Mus musculus: one gene and its partners. The protein of the gene in region 3 interacts with the protein of the main gene of each other region in a pairwise test. Links are inferred from orthologs where the notes say so. Each region holds a gene or a part of one and is shown on either strand. Other genes may lie near its edges.

Evidence for each region. The genes of interacting proteins can lie anywhere in the genome.
Region 1: the proteins of Dhx15 (region 3) and Rbm17 interact in binary tests that used the Homo sapiens proteins (3 or more experiments, as listed by UniProt). The link is inferred for Mus musculus from reciprocal best matches to the Homo sapiens genes DHX15 and RBM17.
Region 2: the proteins of Dhx15 (region 3) and Rbm5 interact in binary tests that used the Homo sapiens proteins (3 or more experiments, as listed by UniProt). The link is inferred for Mus musculus from reciprocal best matches to the Homo sapiens genes DHX15 and RBM5.

What each region holds. Positions count from the first base shown.
Region 1 is NC_000068.7:11,599,097-11,605,117, reverse strand, and holds the start of Rbm17 (splicing factor 45), read left to right. Parts: upstream 1-1,918; 5' UTR 1,919-2,033; intron 2,034-4,361; 5' UTR 4,362-4,376; coding exon 4,377-4,499; intron 4,500-6,021. UniProt on the Homo sapiens protein: Splice factor that binds to the single-stranded 3'AG at the exon/intron border and promotes its utilization in the second catalytic step. Involved in the regulation of alternative splicing and the utilization of cryptic splice sites.
Region 2 is NC_000075.6:107,767,104-107,773,124, reverse strand, and holds the start of Rbm5 (RNA-binding protein 5), read left to right. Parts: upstream 1-2,122; 5' UTR 2,123-2,240; exon of another isoform or gene 2,241-2,676; intron 2,677-3,498; 5' UTR 3,499-3,547; coding exon 3,548-3,564; intron 3,565-5,416; coding exon 5,417-5,582; intron 5,583-6,021. UniProt on the Homo sapiens protein: Component of the spliceosome A complex. Binds to ssRNA containing the consensus sequence 5'-AGGUAA-3'. Regulates alternative splicing of a number of mRNAs.
Region 3 is NC_000071.6:52,148,269-52,153,533, reverse strand, and holds the end of Dhx15 (pre-mRNA-splicing factor ATP-dependent RNA helicase DHX15), read left to right. Parts: exon of another isoform or gene 1-210; intron 211-1,554; coding exon 1,555-1,724; intron 1,725-2,755; coding exon 2,756-2,873; 3' UTR 2,874-3,331; downstream 3,332-5,265.

The DNA of each region.
Region 1 (6,021 bases), on a different chromosome or scaffold from region 3:
GGACTATAGTTACAGATGTTTGTGAGCTGTCATGTGGGTGCTAAGTAGGTTATAAAGAGCCCCAGGTCCTTTGGAAGAGCAGCTGGTGCTCTTAACTGTTCTCTTCTGCCCCACAAAAACAAAATCTCAACTATTACATGTGTGTGTGTGTGTGTGTGTGTGTGTGTGTGTGTGTGTTAATTCCTTTTCCCTATTTATTATTTCCTATAGTGTTTACTATGAATAACAAGATTGTATTTTTTTGATGTACAGATTTTATTTTTTTTTCAACAGGAATTGTATTATAAAATGTCATGTCAAACTTTTAATCAACCCACACATGGTGTTGCTATCTGATTTCTTTATGTTTATCTGCCACAAGCTGGTACTTTATTCCAGGCTTGCATTTTCAAGCTTTCAGAATTTTTAAAATTTTTTAAATTTTTATTATTTATTTATTTATTTGGCTTTTCGAGACAGGGTTTCTCTGTATAGCTCTGGCTGTCCTGGAACTCACTCTGTAGACCAGGCTGGCCTCGAACTCAGAAATCCCCCTGCCTCTGCCTCCCGAGTGCTGGGATTAAAGGCGTGTGCCACCACGCCTGGCACTTTCAGAATTATTTGAACACTTTCTTGTAAATCAGATTATAATGTTGGTGTGTTCACTTGTGTAAGGTCCACCTCCACAGTTTTATGATGGCTATTCCTGGTTTTCAACTCGACTACATCTGGAATGAACTACAATCCAGAAATGGAGGGCACACAGGATCTTGAGGCTGGAAGACACAGGCTGCTGACCCAGATCTTGACATGGAGATCATGAGACAGCCCAGGCAAGGTAGTGCACAACTTTAATCCCAGGACACTGAGGCAAGCAGTTCTCTGAGTTCAAGGCCAGCCTGGGACAAAGCAAGTTCCGGATCCAGGTGTGGAACTTGAGGACATAAAGACATTGGGAGAAAGAAGATTGACTCACTCCTCGTCACCTTCTTGCACTTACTTGACAGCATCTCTGTTGGAACCGATTTCTTCAGATTGTAGCTTAGACAGAAGACCAGATGAAACAACCTACTTCGTGGGACAGAGCAACTACTAGATTCTTGGGTTTCCCATTCACAGCTGCCCATTGTCAGGTTAGTTGGACTGCAGAGTGTAAATCATTGCAATAAATTCATTTAATATATATAGACAGTCTATAGGTCCTCTGACTATAGAGAACCCTGACTGATACATTTTTCAGCTTGAATTCACCACCACCACCACCCTTTGCGGGGGGGGGGGGGGGTTGTTGTTATTGTTGCTGTTTTTCAAAATAGGGTTTCTGTGTAGTCCTGGCTGTCCTGGAACTCACTATATAGACCAGGCAGGCTTTGAACTCAGAAATCTCTGTCTCTGCCTCTCAAGGGCTGAGATTAAAGGCATGGGTCACAACTGTCCAGCTATAGCTTGAAATAATTTTTACATGCAACCAAAAATATGGGGAAAACATATTTACACAAAGCCCTGGTTTCTCTGACCTTTCTTTTGCCATTTGCTGCATTTTTATTCCAAGCGAGCAAGGTTTATAGTGTTTACATTCTTTCTCTGAAGACCTAGCTCAGTGTGTGTTTTTAATGCTATTAGATTCTGCAACATCTCGCCTGCAAATTTATTTCCACCATTTAGTATATAAGGGAATAGTTGGGAGTGAATACCTGGAGCCTAGTAGGGGATTCGGCTCCTACTCCAAGGTCAGAAGGCACATGAATCTCGAAACCTTGTGCCAATGGCGCCATCTCTTGGCCGGCAGAGAGGAGATGCAATGTAGTCCTCCCGTCAGCAGGGTGCAGTGCGAGCCGGAGAGTGCAGCTTTGCTTCCGCGAGTCACACGCAGGCGCAGACGTGGACTCCCGGCAGCCTCCGCTCTCTTACCCCGCGCGGTGCATCCCTTTGCGGACTCCGTGGAGGCTCGGCGCTGCGGCGGACTCCGGCGGTGGGCGGGCTTCCGCGCAGGGCGGCCGGGCTCCGCGCTGCCGCCGCCGTGGCCCATGGGCACAATCGTCTCGGAAGGCCGGGTGAGTGGCGCCGCGGCGGCCCTGGCAGGCGGTCTGATCCGGAACGTAGACTCGGGTGTGCGCGCCTTCACGGATGCGCTGGACGCGAGGCCGCGGCTCTAGGCCGCGCCGTGAGGGGCGCGGGGATGCGGGCGGGGCACCCCGAGCTGCCCGGGGGGTTCCCAGCCCTCCACGTTGGGCTCCTTCAGCCTGCCACGTTCCACCGGGCCACCTAGATCCCCCCTTCACCAGTCCCGATCCTCTTGACAGTGAAGAAAGTACCTTTCTCCTCTTCATGGCCCATGCCCAGACCAAGTTGTTGGGTCGCAAGACCGCAGTAACCCAGACTGCGTCGGGCCTCAGGAATGGAGAAGCCAAAACACAAACCCCAAAACTTGTTTCCTTCCAGAGCACCTGAAGTGAAGGTTGAGGCCGTTGTCTCACCGGGACAGAGAGTGTCTGTTGTAACCCCCGGCATGCTCAGGCCTGCGCTAAGGGGAGTTTTAGCGTTCATGTCCCTCCGCTAGCTTTCGAGCTTCTTCTGCTTGGACCAGTTGTGCTCTGAATGAGTGCTGCAAGCTCAGTAAGGTGCTTCTCCAGGGGTTAGATCTCTAAGAAGCTCGTTGGAAAACCCAGGCCTGGATTGATCCGAAGAACCAGATTACAAGCTGGAAAGACCTGGAAGAGGAGTTTTATTACAAGTGGAAAGGCTGCACCTATGAGGAAGAGGGAAAGCAAGAGCAGAGAAGCGCTGTAGAGTATTCTGCAGTTTAAGGCTGTGACAGAGGATGAAGAGGGACTTAGAAGGGTGATCAGTCAGACCTTCCTTTGAGAAGTCAGGAAGGGGGGACCATTGACATAAGTTCTTGTTATAATTCTGCTTGTTCTGGGAATAGGTGAGGCCTGTCTCTCTGCAACAGGTGGCTCTTTTAAATCATGGGGACACATTTATACTGGGCTGAGCTGTAAACATTTCGAGATAACAAATTTTAGTAAATATGAGTAATGGAGCCCAGGGTGGCAATATGTCTGGAATTCCAGTGCTTGGAAGGTGCAGGCAGGAGATTAAGAGTTCCGAGGACAAGCCACACGTGGAAATCACATGTGTGATTTCCTACAGGCGTCATTTTTCTCCTACCATATGGGTTCTTGTTGACCCCCTGATTTGTTATTATGTACCTCCTCCCCCCCACCACCTGTCCCCCGCATAAATTTTTCACACATCTTTCCAACAGGGAAGAGTTCCCTCTAGTAGGTCATTCTACAAGTCTTTCAGAACAGTAGAGAAATCTGCTGCGCTGTTTGCTTTAGTTACTCTGGTTAGTTTGTTTTTAACAGTCCCTGGCCAATGGTATCTTGGTAATACGGATGGGAAATGTGAACTATCAGAGATGGCATAGCTACACACGGAAGGGTATAAATGATTCGGTAAAACATCATTAAGTCCTGAGTATAAGATATGATTGTGGTGTGGATCAAGCTAACAGAGGTAGACTTTTAGACTTGTGATGGTTACTCTTGGTTAGCTACATCTGGAATCTACTAAAACCCAATGGCTGGCCACACCTGTGAGGGATTTTTATTTATTTATGGACAGGGTTTCACCTGTGAGGGATTTTATTTATTTATGGACAGGGTTTCTTTTTGTAACAGCCCTGGCCCTCCTGGGACTCATCGATGGTTCTGAGCCACCATTACAGGTGGTTGTTGGAAACTGAACTCAGGACCTCTGGAAGAGCAACCAGTACTCCTACCCACTGAGCCATCTCTTTGGCACCTGGAACTTTATAGTTAATAATGCCCCACATAGAGAGCTTCCGTCTTACTCCATTATCAGTTCTATAACTGAAGGATTTGACTCATAAGTCAGTTCACCATAGTCTTTTAGATTGAGAATTAATTCTAGGCTGGACATAGTGGCATATCCCAGCACTCAAGAGGTGTAGGAAAGAGTCACAAGTTCAAAGCCAACCTCGTCTTTGTGATAAGTTCAAGGCCAGCCTGAGCTACATGAGAGCCCTGAGGACTTTTGTTTGTTTGTTTTTTCTTTTTTAGTTTTTTGAGAGGGTTTCTCTGTATAGTTCTGACTGTCCTGGAACTCACTTTGTAGACCAGGCTGGCCTCAGAAATCCGCCTGCCTCTGCCTCCCAAGTGCTGGGTTTAAAGGCGCGTGCCACCACGCCAGGCTGAGGACTGTTTTTAAACTAGTGCCTAAGTATAGTTTTGCAGATTAGAAAGAACCCTGCATTTGTGACAGGAGGGTCCATGGTGCAGCTGTTTTAACACAGAGACATTCATAACTTGCTTCTGCTTTGCATCTTTTAATCTCTGTCCCTGCTTGTCTTTCAGCATTAAACCAAAAAGATGTCCCTATATGATGACCTGGGAGTGGAGACCAGTGACTCAAAAACTGAAGGCTGGTCCAAAAACTTCAAGCTCCTGCAGTCCCAGCTCCAGGTGAAGAAGGCGGCGCTCACTCAGGCCAAGGTAAGAACAGGCCCAGGGCAGGAGAGGGCAAGTCCGCTGAGTTCCTTTAAGCTTGCTCTTTGCCCCCTTGCTGGATACGTAGAAAAGAGTGGGTGGGCGAGGGGTGGAGAGCTGATTGCCTCTCCTGGCTCTTGGAAACAGCAGGACCATTCATGGAGTGGGAATTAAAAAAAGCCATGAGACTGGCTTTAGACTGGAGCATGCCTGAGACTGACTGCAAACTGTTTACAGATGCTGTTTTCATACCCCTAGTCCTAATAGTCTGGGACTTCTGGCCTAGGCTGGGTCCCAGCTAGTTTATTGTAAGAAGTTTGGAATTGAGCTTTGCAGAATAATCAGAGCCACCCCAACATGCATACAAACATATATACATACATGTTAAGTAAATTTTATTTGGTTGGGTTAATAATCGTGTACACTATGAAAGGCTCTGATGTTTGTGAACATACCCAGGATATATAGTTATAGGTGGGAATTGCTGTGTTGTATACCTGTTAGACTTGGCATTGTCTTGGAGACAGTGCAGCTTTTTCTTTTTCTTTGTTTCTGTTTGTTTTCAACATAAGATTTCAGTATGTGGCTTTGAACTGTCTGTGTCGACCAAGGTGGCCCCAGTTTCACAGAGGTCTGCCTGTCTCTGCCTACCAAGTGCTGGGAATATCACCCCACCCAACTATGCGTATATTTTAATGTCAGCTATTAGCAAATATCTTGAGATTGCAAATAGATTTTGTGGGGGTGGGGTTGTTGAGACAGGGTTTCTCTGTTTAGCCCTGGCTGTCCTGGAACTCACTTTGTAGACCAGGGTGGCCTCGAACTCAGAAATCTGCCTGCCTCTGCCTCTGAAGTGCTGGGATAAAAGGCGTGTGCCACCACGCCTGGCCAGCAAGTAGATTTTAATTTGTCAAAATGGACCATTACTTTAGAATTCATCTGCTAACCTTCTGACCTGAATCTTGAGGCTTCTCTATGTGGTTGATTCTTATGAGGAAGTGAAGTTGCACTGTATTGGTTCTCTTGGGCTCTTCAGTGCCTTTCTCAGAGTACTAGCCACGCTTGTAAAAATACTTGGTAGAGAAAATGTACCTGTATCTGAAAGGTGAAGGTATGGTTTCATTTGTATTTCATTTTTGAAACTACAAATTAAATTTTAAAATGAGCAAATAAGTGATTGTCATAACCCTACTGTGGGAAGTTAGGGTTTATATTGTGATTTTTTTTTTTTTTTATGATTCCTGGATGATATGTTGTTTGCTTAAAGCACCGTTAAAGTCCAGAGAGCTCAGACTTCCTGATAAGAGTGAAAGTTTGTACCCTTTAAATACTGAGAATTTAAACTTTCATGACAACCTCTAGTCCACACGGATGGCCATGGCATCTTAGCAACCTGAGAATTTGGTGTTGCTCACCAGCTTGCTGAGATATTCTTTTTTTTTTTTTTTTTTTAAGTTTTTTGTTGTTTTGTTTTTCTAGACAGTTTCTCTGTGTAGTCCTGGCTGCCCTGGAACTCACTCTGTAGACC
Region 2 (6,021 bases), on a different chromosome or scaffold from region 3:
ATTAAAGACTCAGAAGCTCTTTGACCACCTCAAGGCTATAGGGAAAACAAAGTCCTACAATTGCCTCAAAGCAAAGATGTCTTTCACTTTTTTTCTATAGCAGTAGTTCCAATACTGGGACAAAACATTTAATCGTTTATTTTTTTGCCACATAATCAGAGAGGTGATTGGTTGGGTTGGTTTTAAAAGACTCATGAAAGTGATTATGTCACTGGGTTAGGTTGGTTTTTTCGAGACAGGGTTTCTCTGTGTAGCCCTGGCTGTCCTGGAACTCACTTTGTAGACCAGGCTGGCCTCAAACTCAGAAATCCGCCTGCCTCTGCCTCCCAAGTGCTGGGATTAAAGGCGTGCGCCACTGCGCCCGGCTTACTATTTTTATTTGTCTCTGCGTGTAGTTTAGGTGCATTTAGGGCCAGAAGACGGCATGGGATCCCTGGAGGTGGTATTATATAGGCTTGTGTGCTACCTGATACGAGTGCTGGGAACCAAATTTGGATTCCCTGATAGAGCAGCAAGCACTCCATCTCCAGCTTTTAAGTTTTTAAAATGAAAGACTTAAGATTATTTTATTAAAACTTTGTTCAATAATATATTTGCTTTTTTGTGTTGCTTAAATTAGAACAATTTCCATTGTCTTTGGTACATCGACTACCAGATAGCCTAGGATATATAGTCCATCTACTCACAAAAACAATTCTACTCAACAGACAGACACAATTGAGAGGATGCCATTCATCCCTGGATGGAATCTGTCTAGGGATAGGGGAGTAGCTTTTGAGTTTAAAATTGAATTGGCAGCATGGTGGCTCACCTTTAATCCCAGCAACCAGTGAGTGAGTTCTTTATATCACCCTGGCTTTCCTGGAACTCACCTTTTTAGACCAGGCTGGCCTTGAACTCAGAGATCCAATTACCTCTGGGATTATAGGCATGGATCACCACACCCTGCTATAAGTGGTTTCTATGATCTGCAGACAAATGTATATTTTCTGCGGTTAAGTGTGTTATATATACTCAACCATAATTGGGCATATCTTAACATTTACATAATTGTATACTGAGAATACATAGATACAAAAGAAAGATGTTGAGTATGTGTTCCTTCAGCTGTGTTATCAGGCATTTCTAGCCAGTTTCAGTCACCCTAATTCCTGCACACCGTTATTCTTATCAGACTTGTAATCCCAGAAGGAGGTGAAAACTGGAGGGTCAGAAACAGTCCCACACTAAGGAGATGGATCTTGGTCAGTCTACATTGTGAATTCCAGGCTAACCAGAACTATAGAGACCCTTTCTAAAGAAAACAAAAGGGAGGGAAGGGAAGAAAAATTAAAAAAAAAAATGAGGGAAATCTGCTCCCTAATAACTACATATGCAGAGGACAAGTTATGGCAACTGGATGACAATATCTCCACAAAAAGCAGAGAGAGGGGGGGGGGGAACCTCTAGGGTTTTGTCTGTTTTGTTGGATTTTTTTTTTTAATGTGTAGTTGGGTGATGATTTGGTTTGAATTTGGGCTGCTTTGCATTTACTTATTGTTGGTGTATTTGAACACACATCCATGTTTGCCACATCAGAAGACTACTCTCATGCGTGGTTCTCTTTCCATCCTGTGAATTGCAGGGATGGAACTCAGGGTTTTAGGCTTGGCAGTAAGCCTTACCTGATGAGGCTATCTCACAGGCTTGGTTTTATTGTTGTTTTGTTTGCTTGTGGCAGGGTCTTACAACAAAATATCCCTATTGTTCTGGAGTTCATATTCTAGTGCTGGCATGGCTTCTGAAAACAAGCTAGTTCAGTTTCCAGTTTACCGAATTATTAGCTCTGTATGTTTGTAAAACGACTAGGGAAGTAATCCGTAGTATGCCTTCTCTACGAACTGGATTATACGTTTTACAGTGTGTCAAGCGCTGGTAAAGTTCACATCCGGGTTCTCAGAAGCTGAATGGCAGCTTTGTCATGGAGCAGATGAAATACGCAAAAAAATTAACGCAGGGTATAGTGACAGGCTGCCTGGGCGACCACACTTCCCGGCAGCCCTCGCGCAGACCGGCACCCTCGCTGATTGGACGCCTCTGGAGAGGCGGGTAGGATGGGAGGTGGGGGAAGGTCGACGCGCGAGGGACTGTGGGTAGGAGAAGACGGTCGGTGGAGACGCCATTTTGTGGAGCGGCCGAACCTTGTAGGAGGTTCTGGGGCGCAGAGCCGCTACTGCTCCTGCTTTGTTCCCTCTGTGGGGGTGAGTGCGGCTGCCGTCCATTACACCCCAGTGATTTTGCAATTGGTGCTGTCCCTTAAGTCTGCCTGTCAGCCGCCAGAGGTGACCGCTCAGCCGAGTCTTTGAAGAGACTAAACTAAGCAAGCGCTTGAGGGCCGCGCCCCTCCTCGCCTCTGGCTCTGCTGGCTTTCATAGGTTGCCCCCTAGCCCGGTCCTCGACCCGCCTCTTTGGAGTTGTTTGTCTCTTGCTGGGACGTTGTCCCGAATCCCCTGTCGTGCGGAGCTGTGGAGCGCCTGGCAGTCTCTTAAGCCATCATCGCCCTGAGTCTCCAACTGAATCTCGCTGTGCGAAAGGTGGTTGGGAATGGGTGTGGGGAGGGATGGATGGAAGATAAGAAAGATGGACTGAATGCCGGATTCAGTTGCGCCGCCATCTCGGCTGCGATACCCCGCGGAGGTGGGCATGGGCAACCTCCCTGGGAGGTGGGTGCGGGCATCTCGGGCGAAAACAAGGGACAGCCGTAGCCGTTCGACCCCGGAACTTGACCCACTAGATGTCTCTTATTTTTTAAGTCAACGAATGTTTGTTAAGTGCTTGCTTTAAAAGACCAGATTCTAGAAATGGCAGTAACTATAGTTTCTGGGACATCACAGGCATCATAGCTGTGTGATGTTTTATTACGGCCAATCGGCCGGGGAAAGGCTGTGGGTCACTCGGTGGCCTGTTGTCGATCAGGGCTGGTCCAAGACATAGGTGTTATTGATACACAGATATTAAGCCGAGTCAAGGTTTGGTCTTGTCTTACTGAAATAAATTGAGATCAGGCGATGTGTTATATATGTAAATTTCAATCAGATCAGCATTCCAGCTTCTAAGTTTTTGTCAGAAAAATTTGAGATCGTGTTACAATTTTAGTGTTGAATTTTATATTAACGAAGACAGTTGGATGAATGCTTTAATCATTGTCCATCTCAATAAATAGCGTTGCTTTGGTTATGAAAATCAGGAGCTTTTTGCTTTGTAATTGTAGTGGGAGTGTCCAAGGTGTCTAAAGCCTTCACCCTTCTTGAGTTTCTTATTGAATATATGATCTTAATATGTTAAAGTGACCTTCATCTTCCTGCTTCTTAACACAATTATGACTTAGTGTTGACAGCCTCCTTTTCCTTCCTCTTTTTAGTCATTGTTAAGTATTAGCCACAGTTTCTATCCCAGTTTGTAGGGTTCTTGAATTAAGTGATCTCTGAAATTTGCAATTTTTCTCTTTCCCACCCCTAGGGGAAAATTTAAGCCTTTTGAAGCAGTGTGCTAGCTCTTCCGTGAGACGATGGGTTCAGACAAAAGGTGAGTTTCAATACATGACATGCCTTTGATCTCAACAGCTTAGTTGGGACTGAAATATTTGTTTAAAATTGTTTATTCAGCCCTGTGTGGTGATGGCAGCTTACAGGTTTTAATCCCCGCAGAGACAGGCAAATCTCACTGAGTTCAAGGCCAGCCAGGGCTACATAGAGAAGGCCTGTCTCAAAAAAGGAAAAACAAAAACAAAACAAAGCAACAACAGTAATAAATTATTTATTTTGCAAATGAATATTTAAATGTCTATTGTGTTTCAAGTGTTCCAAATGACTACTTTCATGATTCTGTTCTCACAAGCTTCAGTCTAGTGAGAGTTAACAGTTAGGATAAAAAATGTAAAGTACTGTCTGGACACATGAGGAGAAAGGGAAGTGTCTTGGGGAAAGTATTGTCGGAGGTGCAGTCCAAAGGCTAAGAACTAGGTTAAGGAAAGCAGTGTGGAGTAGGCCATGGAAAGTTCCAGCTGTGGGCAGGAGCTATTCAAAGCCTGCTTGAGAAGCAGTGAGTGAGTGCCAATCCTTGTTATTCCCTAGTGATAGATACAGTGGCCTGGGAGGCTCAAAGCTGAGCAGCCTAGGAGCGTGGCTTACATCAAGACGATCGAGAAAGGGAAAAGCTAGTTAACATAGAACAGATTAGGACTGGGATACAGCTCGCCTGTCAGTGGTTTATGAGGCATGAGTATCAATCCCCAGTAGGTCCAGATACATTAAACAAACAAAGGTGAAAACTGTTGGCTGTTTCAGCAACTGTGGATATGGAGACCTCAAATCATTTGACTTAACATAGCCTTCACATGATCTTATTATTGACAGGCCAGTTCTTGTGATAGATAAAATTGACATCCAAGAAAGACTTATTTATGTCATAGGATATCATGTAGTCCTGTGACAGACTATTGCTCCAAATAACGTACGTAATTAAAATGTACCCTTTTGCAAATGTACCTTTTTGCCCATGGCTAAAAAAAAATGTTATATGGAATAAATGTTTTCTGAGCCTGTCAGTTTGAAGTAATCATCCACTTCTGTGTACAGATGAACCACTTGGTTAACAGGTTGACTGGCAGTGGTTGGAGGGAAGACATAGGTCGTCTAGAGCATTGGTCCATTTCTGGTTTGTGTGGCGCCCTTGAGAGTCTAAGTTGTTAAGATTAACTCTTCCATGCTGGCAGTGGTTGCTCTCAACTTTGGTCCCTGCACTCATGAGGCAGAGGCAGGCAGATCTCTTGAGTTCAAGACCAACATGGTCTACAAAGTGAGTTCCAGGACAGCTAGGGCTACACAGAGAAACCCTGTTTGAAAAACCAAAAAGGAAAAGGAAAAAAAAAACATTTACTCTGAAATTGGATGAGATTTAAGTAACTACTTTCTTGCTGTCTTTGGTCAGTATTATCTGAAATGGAAATAAAGGAATAATATATCAACCATAGGCTTAAGAAAACACTAAGAATAAACTTTGAGAATATGTTCCCTTCTCAAAAACTTTAATCCAAATAACTAATAGTTATATTTTCTGACTTTCTGTCAATTCCTTAAAATTGTGTGTGTGTATGTTTTCTCTCTCCTTTTCTTGAGACCTGGGTGGTCTAAAGCTCTAGAGATCACCCTCCTGCCTTTGCCTCCTCGGATTACAGGCATGCATCACCACAACTTGCCTAAGAATGTTCTTTCAGTAGATATCTTTGTAAACTAAACATGGGTGGTATGTTTTAAGGGATACATTAAACTATTTGGATGTATCTTATAAACTGATATGTGAGGCGATTTTTTTTTTCTGACTGTATGAAACTATATACTTACATGATGTACTTAAATGAACATTATTTTTCTCGCAGAGTGAGTAGAACAGAACGTAGTGGAAGATATGGTTCCATCATAGATAGGGATGACCGTGATGAGCGTGAATCTAGAAGCAGGCGGCGGGACTCAGATTACAAAAGATCAAGCGATGATCGGAGAGGTGATAGATATGATGACTATCGGGACTATGATAGTCCAGAGGTGAGTAATAGCTATTGTCAATAAAAATTATATAAAGAAGTGTGGTGACTAGAAAATTACACTGATCACTCAGAAGCATACTTAAGTTGAATGTAACTTCGAGAGACGAAGTGGGCCTTTAATACAACCAATAGCTAAAGTCTTTGTAAGGGTCCTGTGACATGGACTCCTTTGAGTACTTGAACTTCATGAGCTTCTCTGCATACCAATGCACCCTTATAGAAGATAGGCTGCAAGGAGGACCGTCAACTCTGCCAGGATCTCCTATGTTACCTCTGCTGTCCTGGAACTTACTGTATAGAGCTGGGCTGACTTGAAACTCACAGATACTCCTGTCTCTGCCTCCCAAGTTCTGGATTAAAGATGTGGGCACTCTTTCCTGTGATGTGCTCACATCTTAGAGATGAGGTGGTGGGGGGTGGGACATAGCTCAAGGAGA
Region 3 (5,265 bases):
GAGCCATCTCTCCATTCTCTGTTTCCACATTTAACTAACTACATTGCCTTTGTGTTTGTACACAGTACTTATTGGTATTTATGACTAACTTGGAGCACTGTAAAATCCAAGTGTCCTTTAGCTATTCTGAATTTTTCTTTATAAGTTATTTAATTTAAATGTATGTATTAGAGGTCATTGGAATTCGAATAAAAAAGCAAATAAATACCCTTAGTAGGTTTTTAAAATTTTTATTATGTATGGGTATTTTGCCTGTATATCTGGATAACTTGCATGCCTGGTACAGGTAGAGGTTTTCAGGTACTCTGAAATTGGAGTTAGAGTGGGTTGTGAATCACCATGTGGGTGCTGGGAATTAAATCTGAGTCTCTTGAAAGAGGAACAAGTATTCACTGCTCAGCCACTTCTGTAGGTCCTGAAAAATCGAAGGGTCAGGTAAATCAAAATGATGCTTGAAACTATTCTGCTAGTTAAATTCAAAATACATTACGTGAGTTGAAATTGCTCTTTAAACTTATCTCTCATGCTTCTTTATTCTGTCCTTGGATGTTTCTTAAACCAGTTACATTAGCCTTAAAGCCATTTGTGTTCAATAGCTAGAAGGAATCTGGATGCATTTGGTTCCATATTATGCCTGTAAAGTATCTGTCTTTGAATTAAAGTATCAGAAAAAAAGTGGATTGGTGGTTTTGTGAGAATGTCTCACAAAAGGGTGACTTTAAACTCCAATGGTTCTTTGCCTTCTGAAATGCTGGGGTGGCAGGTGACCTCTAATACATACATTTATATACTAGTATGGACTAGCTTTTTCTTGGTATTTCTTAGTTTTTTTCTCTGACACGCACACGCACGCACGCACGCACGCACGCACGCACACTTGACTGATAAATTTAAGAACTGTAGTATCCTAGTTAGCTCCTATTCTAAGAAGCAGCAACAATTGAAGTGGTACTTGACACCTAGTATATATTCGTTATATATATTTACTAGTTGTCATTAAGTCATGTGCTATGCAGAGTTGTAGAGTTGGGAATGGCAAAGACTCTTGTCCTGCATTATTAGTTGTTAGGTATCATGAATATAAGTGTATAATTAGGAAAAGAAAATATGAAAGAATTATGTGATCTTTCTTTCCCTGCTTTTTCCTTACCCCTTTCTTTTCTTTATAGGTTGTTGCTTTCTTTTTGCTTAGATTTCTTTTCTTCACCTTAGTTATGAGTGTGGTAATATTTGTCTACTTTGTAGCTAGTGTGTGGTGCGAGACATGCCTGAGATAGAAATGAGTGGTTGAGAGCACTGACTACTCATCCGGAGGACCTGGGTTCAGTTCTTAGCACCCACATAACTTCTAAGAACCAACTGTAATTCCAGTTCTAAGGGAGCCAACATTTTCTCTGACCTTCTCAGGCAGCCACATATGTGGTACACAAATTGGCATGTGAGCATGTATGCACACACACAGTAAAACAAACTCAATATTTTTAAGTTTTCATGTAAATATCCACATACTGTTTGCCTAGTATTTCACTGTAAACACTAATTATTTTGTTTCAGGTGGCACATTTAGAACGAACGGGGCATTATTTAACTGTGAAAGATAACCAGGTGGTCCAGTTGCATCCCTCTACTGTGCTTGATCACAAGCCTGAATGGGTGCTTTATAATGAGTTTGTGCTGACGACAAAGAATTATATCCGGACATGTACAGATATCAAGCCAGAATGGTAAGGAAGCACACTGTCTTCAATTTTGATTTTAGTATTTTGTTGTGGGTAGAATATGCTTAGTAGACATATCCTTGCTCATTGTATAGCTTGAACTTCTCAGCTAGGTGTGTATATTCTTGTACGTGGACCTAGGATTAACATGGTATGATTTGTTTTTTTCTTTTGTTTCTTAAGTCAGTGTTCTGGTGAGAGGACAGTGGGAATATTAGTGTGGGCAGGGAGTTGAGTACCATCAGGAATTTCTTGGTGCCATTTTGTGGTCTCTGTTGGCAGATGTTTGTCTTTTTAATATTTTACTTGGTTTAAGTATTTTGTCTTTATTTATTAAATGTTGAGGGGTTTTTTGACCTATGTAAAGATAAAAATTATATCAAATTATTCCCTAGCATATTAGCTTCTAAAAATTGTAATTAAGACAGGTTGTTCAATTTTTAGCAAAATGGTACCCTTGTGATTTCCCTACCACCACCATTTTTATAAGTTATGGGAATGTCAGCCAAGAGTGGACAGGAAACCATTTATGTTGGTTTGTCTCACTTACTATTTTGCGGCTTCCATCCATTACTGATTTATGGCTTTTGACACTTCAATTGTTTAGAACATTACCCTTTTATTATGTTTTGCCAAGGGAAAACAGTATAGTTTATAAGATATACAGTTTTATATTTGTAGTTCTTAATACTGATAATGAGATGGAGTTATTTGACTATCAAAACCATAACCTTTAAAATACAGGTTTAAGTGTAGGCAAATGAAACACTAAATAGCTTTTGTCTTTTCATATTAATGTAAATAAAGTATTAGAAAAATTAATCCCGATCCTGTTTCCAAGGTGGTAAGTTTACAGAAGGTTTATACTTTTGCTAAGCTGATATTTCTTAAACTGTGTTAATAAAGATATGATTTTAAATCTTTTATCATTGATTTGTATTTGAACATTTGTCGTCATTCAGCAGCAGTATAATTATTAGCAACTCTAGTACTTAAATCTTGATTTCATAACTTTCCCCCTCCCCCATTCTGGACAGGTTGGTGAAAATTGCCCCTCAATATTATGACATGAGCAATTTCCCACAGTGTGAAGCAAAGAGACAGTTGGACCGCATTATTGCCAAACTTCAATCCAAGGAATATTCACAGTACTGAATTCAATGCTTAGAACTGAAGTTATTCAGAGGACAGCTTTAAAAGATGAATGAAGTCAAGTTCAAGTTGTGCTCTTCATGTTGGTTCAATAATGGCCTTTATTTGAAAGCTTTTTAATTTTTCTTTACAGTAAATATTCCATTCTGATTTCATAAATTAAACATTTATGCCTCCCTTTTGTGTTGACACTGTAGCTCATACTGGAAAAGTCGATCAATGTTTTGCAGTTTATTGAAAGTAGTTCTATATATAACAATGTTATAAGCATTTCTTTAGAAATGGTTGAAAATGCTTCTAAAATGTGATTATCGACCATGGTATGCATGATCGTTGTAATTGTTGACATTCCTTTTAGAAGTTGTGAAATGTTACAACTTGTGCTTCTGTAGACACAATCTTCTGTCTCCATACAGAGGCACTGACTTCAATAAAGTCTATTTATACTAATCTTGGCCCAAGTCCTTCTGTATCTTTTATTCTAAGAGTCTCTATAGTGAGTGGCTGCTTTTCTTTTTTCATTGTAATTATACTGTTACTACGTATTTAGCGTTTTTTAAAAGGAGTACTCCTTAGGTACAGTAGCCATTAAACCTGGGTTTTAAAGAGCATAAATGTAGCACTTTCTTAGGTTAATCAGTATGTAATCTAATGGGATAACGTGTGTAATATTTTTTTTTGAAATTGGATCCCCAGAGACAGAATAATGGAAGAATGGCTTTGTCCTCATTCTTAAAGCTCATTTCATAAGGCTGATAGTTTATTACCTTATTAAATGCGTTGTGTCAGGTCTTACTGTACTGAGGCGAACAGTTTAATCACTCTAGCCCCTAGCATGTGTTTGTATTGGATAGGAGGGAACAGTGTTCTGGATCACCGTCAGTTTTTACTAAGTATTGACTGTTGGCAGCTTTTATAATGTAATTTGTATAGTGTGTTAAAATGAGAAGTTGAGCTTCCTATCAACAGGCAGGAGACAAACTAAAATCCTTCCGGAACCAAAAGGAGCTGTTGATGTGGCCAGTCAAAAGTACTGCAATAATTTGTCTTTCACTTACAGGCTAAATAGTTACTAAATTTGGATGTGCCTTTCTCTTGTTAATTTGCTTTGCTTTGCTTTGTTTTAAAGTCTTGGTGACCTGCCATTCACTGTAGACTAGATTGGCCTCAGAAATCACTGATTCTCCTATCTCTGCCTCATTTTTTATAATATGAAAGGAAAATGTATAGTTGTGATCTGATGACGTGTCAGTTTCAGGTGATTTGAATACTTTTAGTGCACCTCTTATATGGTGCCTAGTGGTTCAGGATATCTAGAAACCACATCAGAGAGATGAGGGGAGAACGGTACTGACTCATTGACCCCGACAGTAAGAGAAAGAAAGTTAAATTGTTTCTGTCTTGTTTAACTCTATTTTAAGAGAAGATTAGAACTGTATTATTAGAGACTTTCTAGCAGAACCTACCTGGAGGCTATGAAAAGTACTCAGGTGTACCTAACAACCTAGACTTCTAGGGCTGACTCATACACTTCATAGAGAAGCTGATTAGAAGTCCTTCTTTGTTCTGGCTTATCGGCTCATTGCTCATTAATTTCTGTTACTCCTATCATTGTTATCCTACCGTTGGGTCTTGGGGATTGATCTCAGATTGTTGAGTTTGTTGGGACGTGTCTACCTGATGGTGCATTTTACTAGTATAAAATCAGATTTAATCCATATGAGATGTAAAATTGACTGGCTTGGTAGATACTTATTTATACACTGATTATGGTTTGTATATAATACATATTAGAGGACTTGGAGAGGGAGCCTCACTTCAGAATTTTTTTACTGGTTCCATCACAAAAACGTGCATTTTAAGACTTGTGAATACAATGCTTCATAAGCAGCCATTACACAAGGGTATTGCCACCAGTAAGACAAGCATCATCCCAGGCTATGGAAACTTGACTTTTACTTTGAATTGTCTCAGGCCATTTGAACTCAGAATAGCAAAAGTGTTCCTTGGTAGTCTTCTCATTGTTACATAGATAAGATGAACTTAAATCTGAGTGTTTGGCAAGTGTCCTATACTTTATTTTTAAATTACTATGTGTTGGGGGTTTTTCTTCATTAAATTGTTGTAGACTCACTATTTACAATTAACAGATTGTAGGTATTGGAGATGGAATATTGTGGATTGAATCTAGGACATACTCCACCAGATTTATATATCACACCTAGACTAGAGTAGATTGAACCTAGTTAAGAAGTTAGAAATGCAAGAACACATGATAGTCAACTTTAAGGTTTTTGAGGAGGAGGGAGAAAAAAATGTATGAGTGCATTGGCCAAAAGCCAGTGTCAGAAGCCAATCTTCTACACTACTTATTCCCCACCTTACTGTTTTGAGA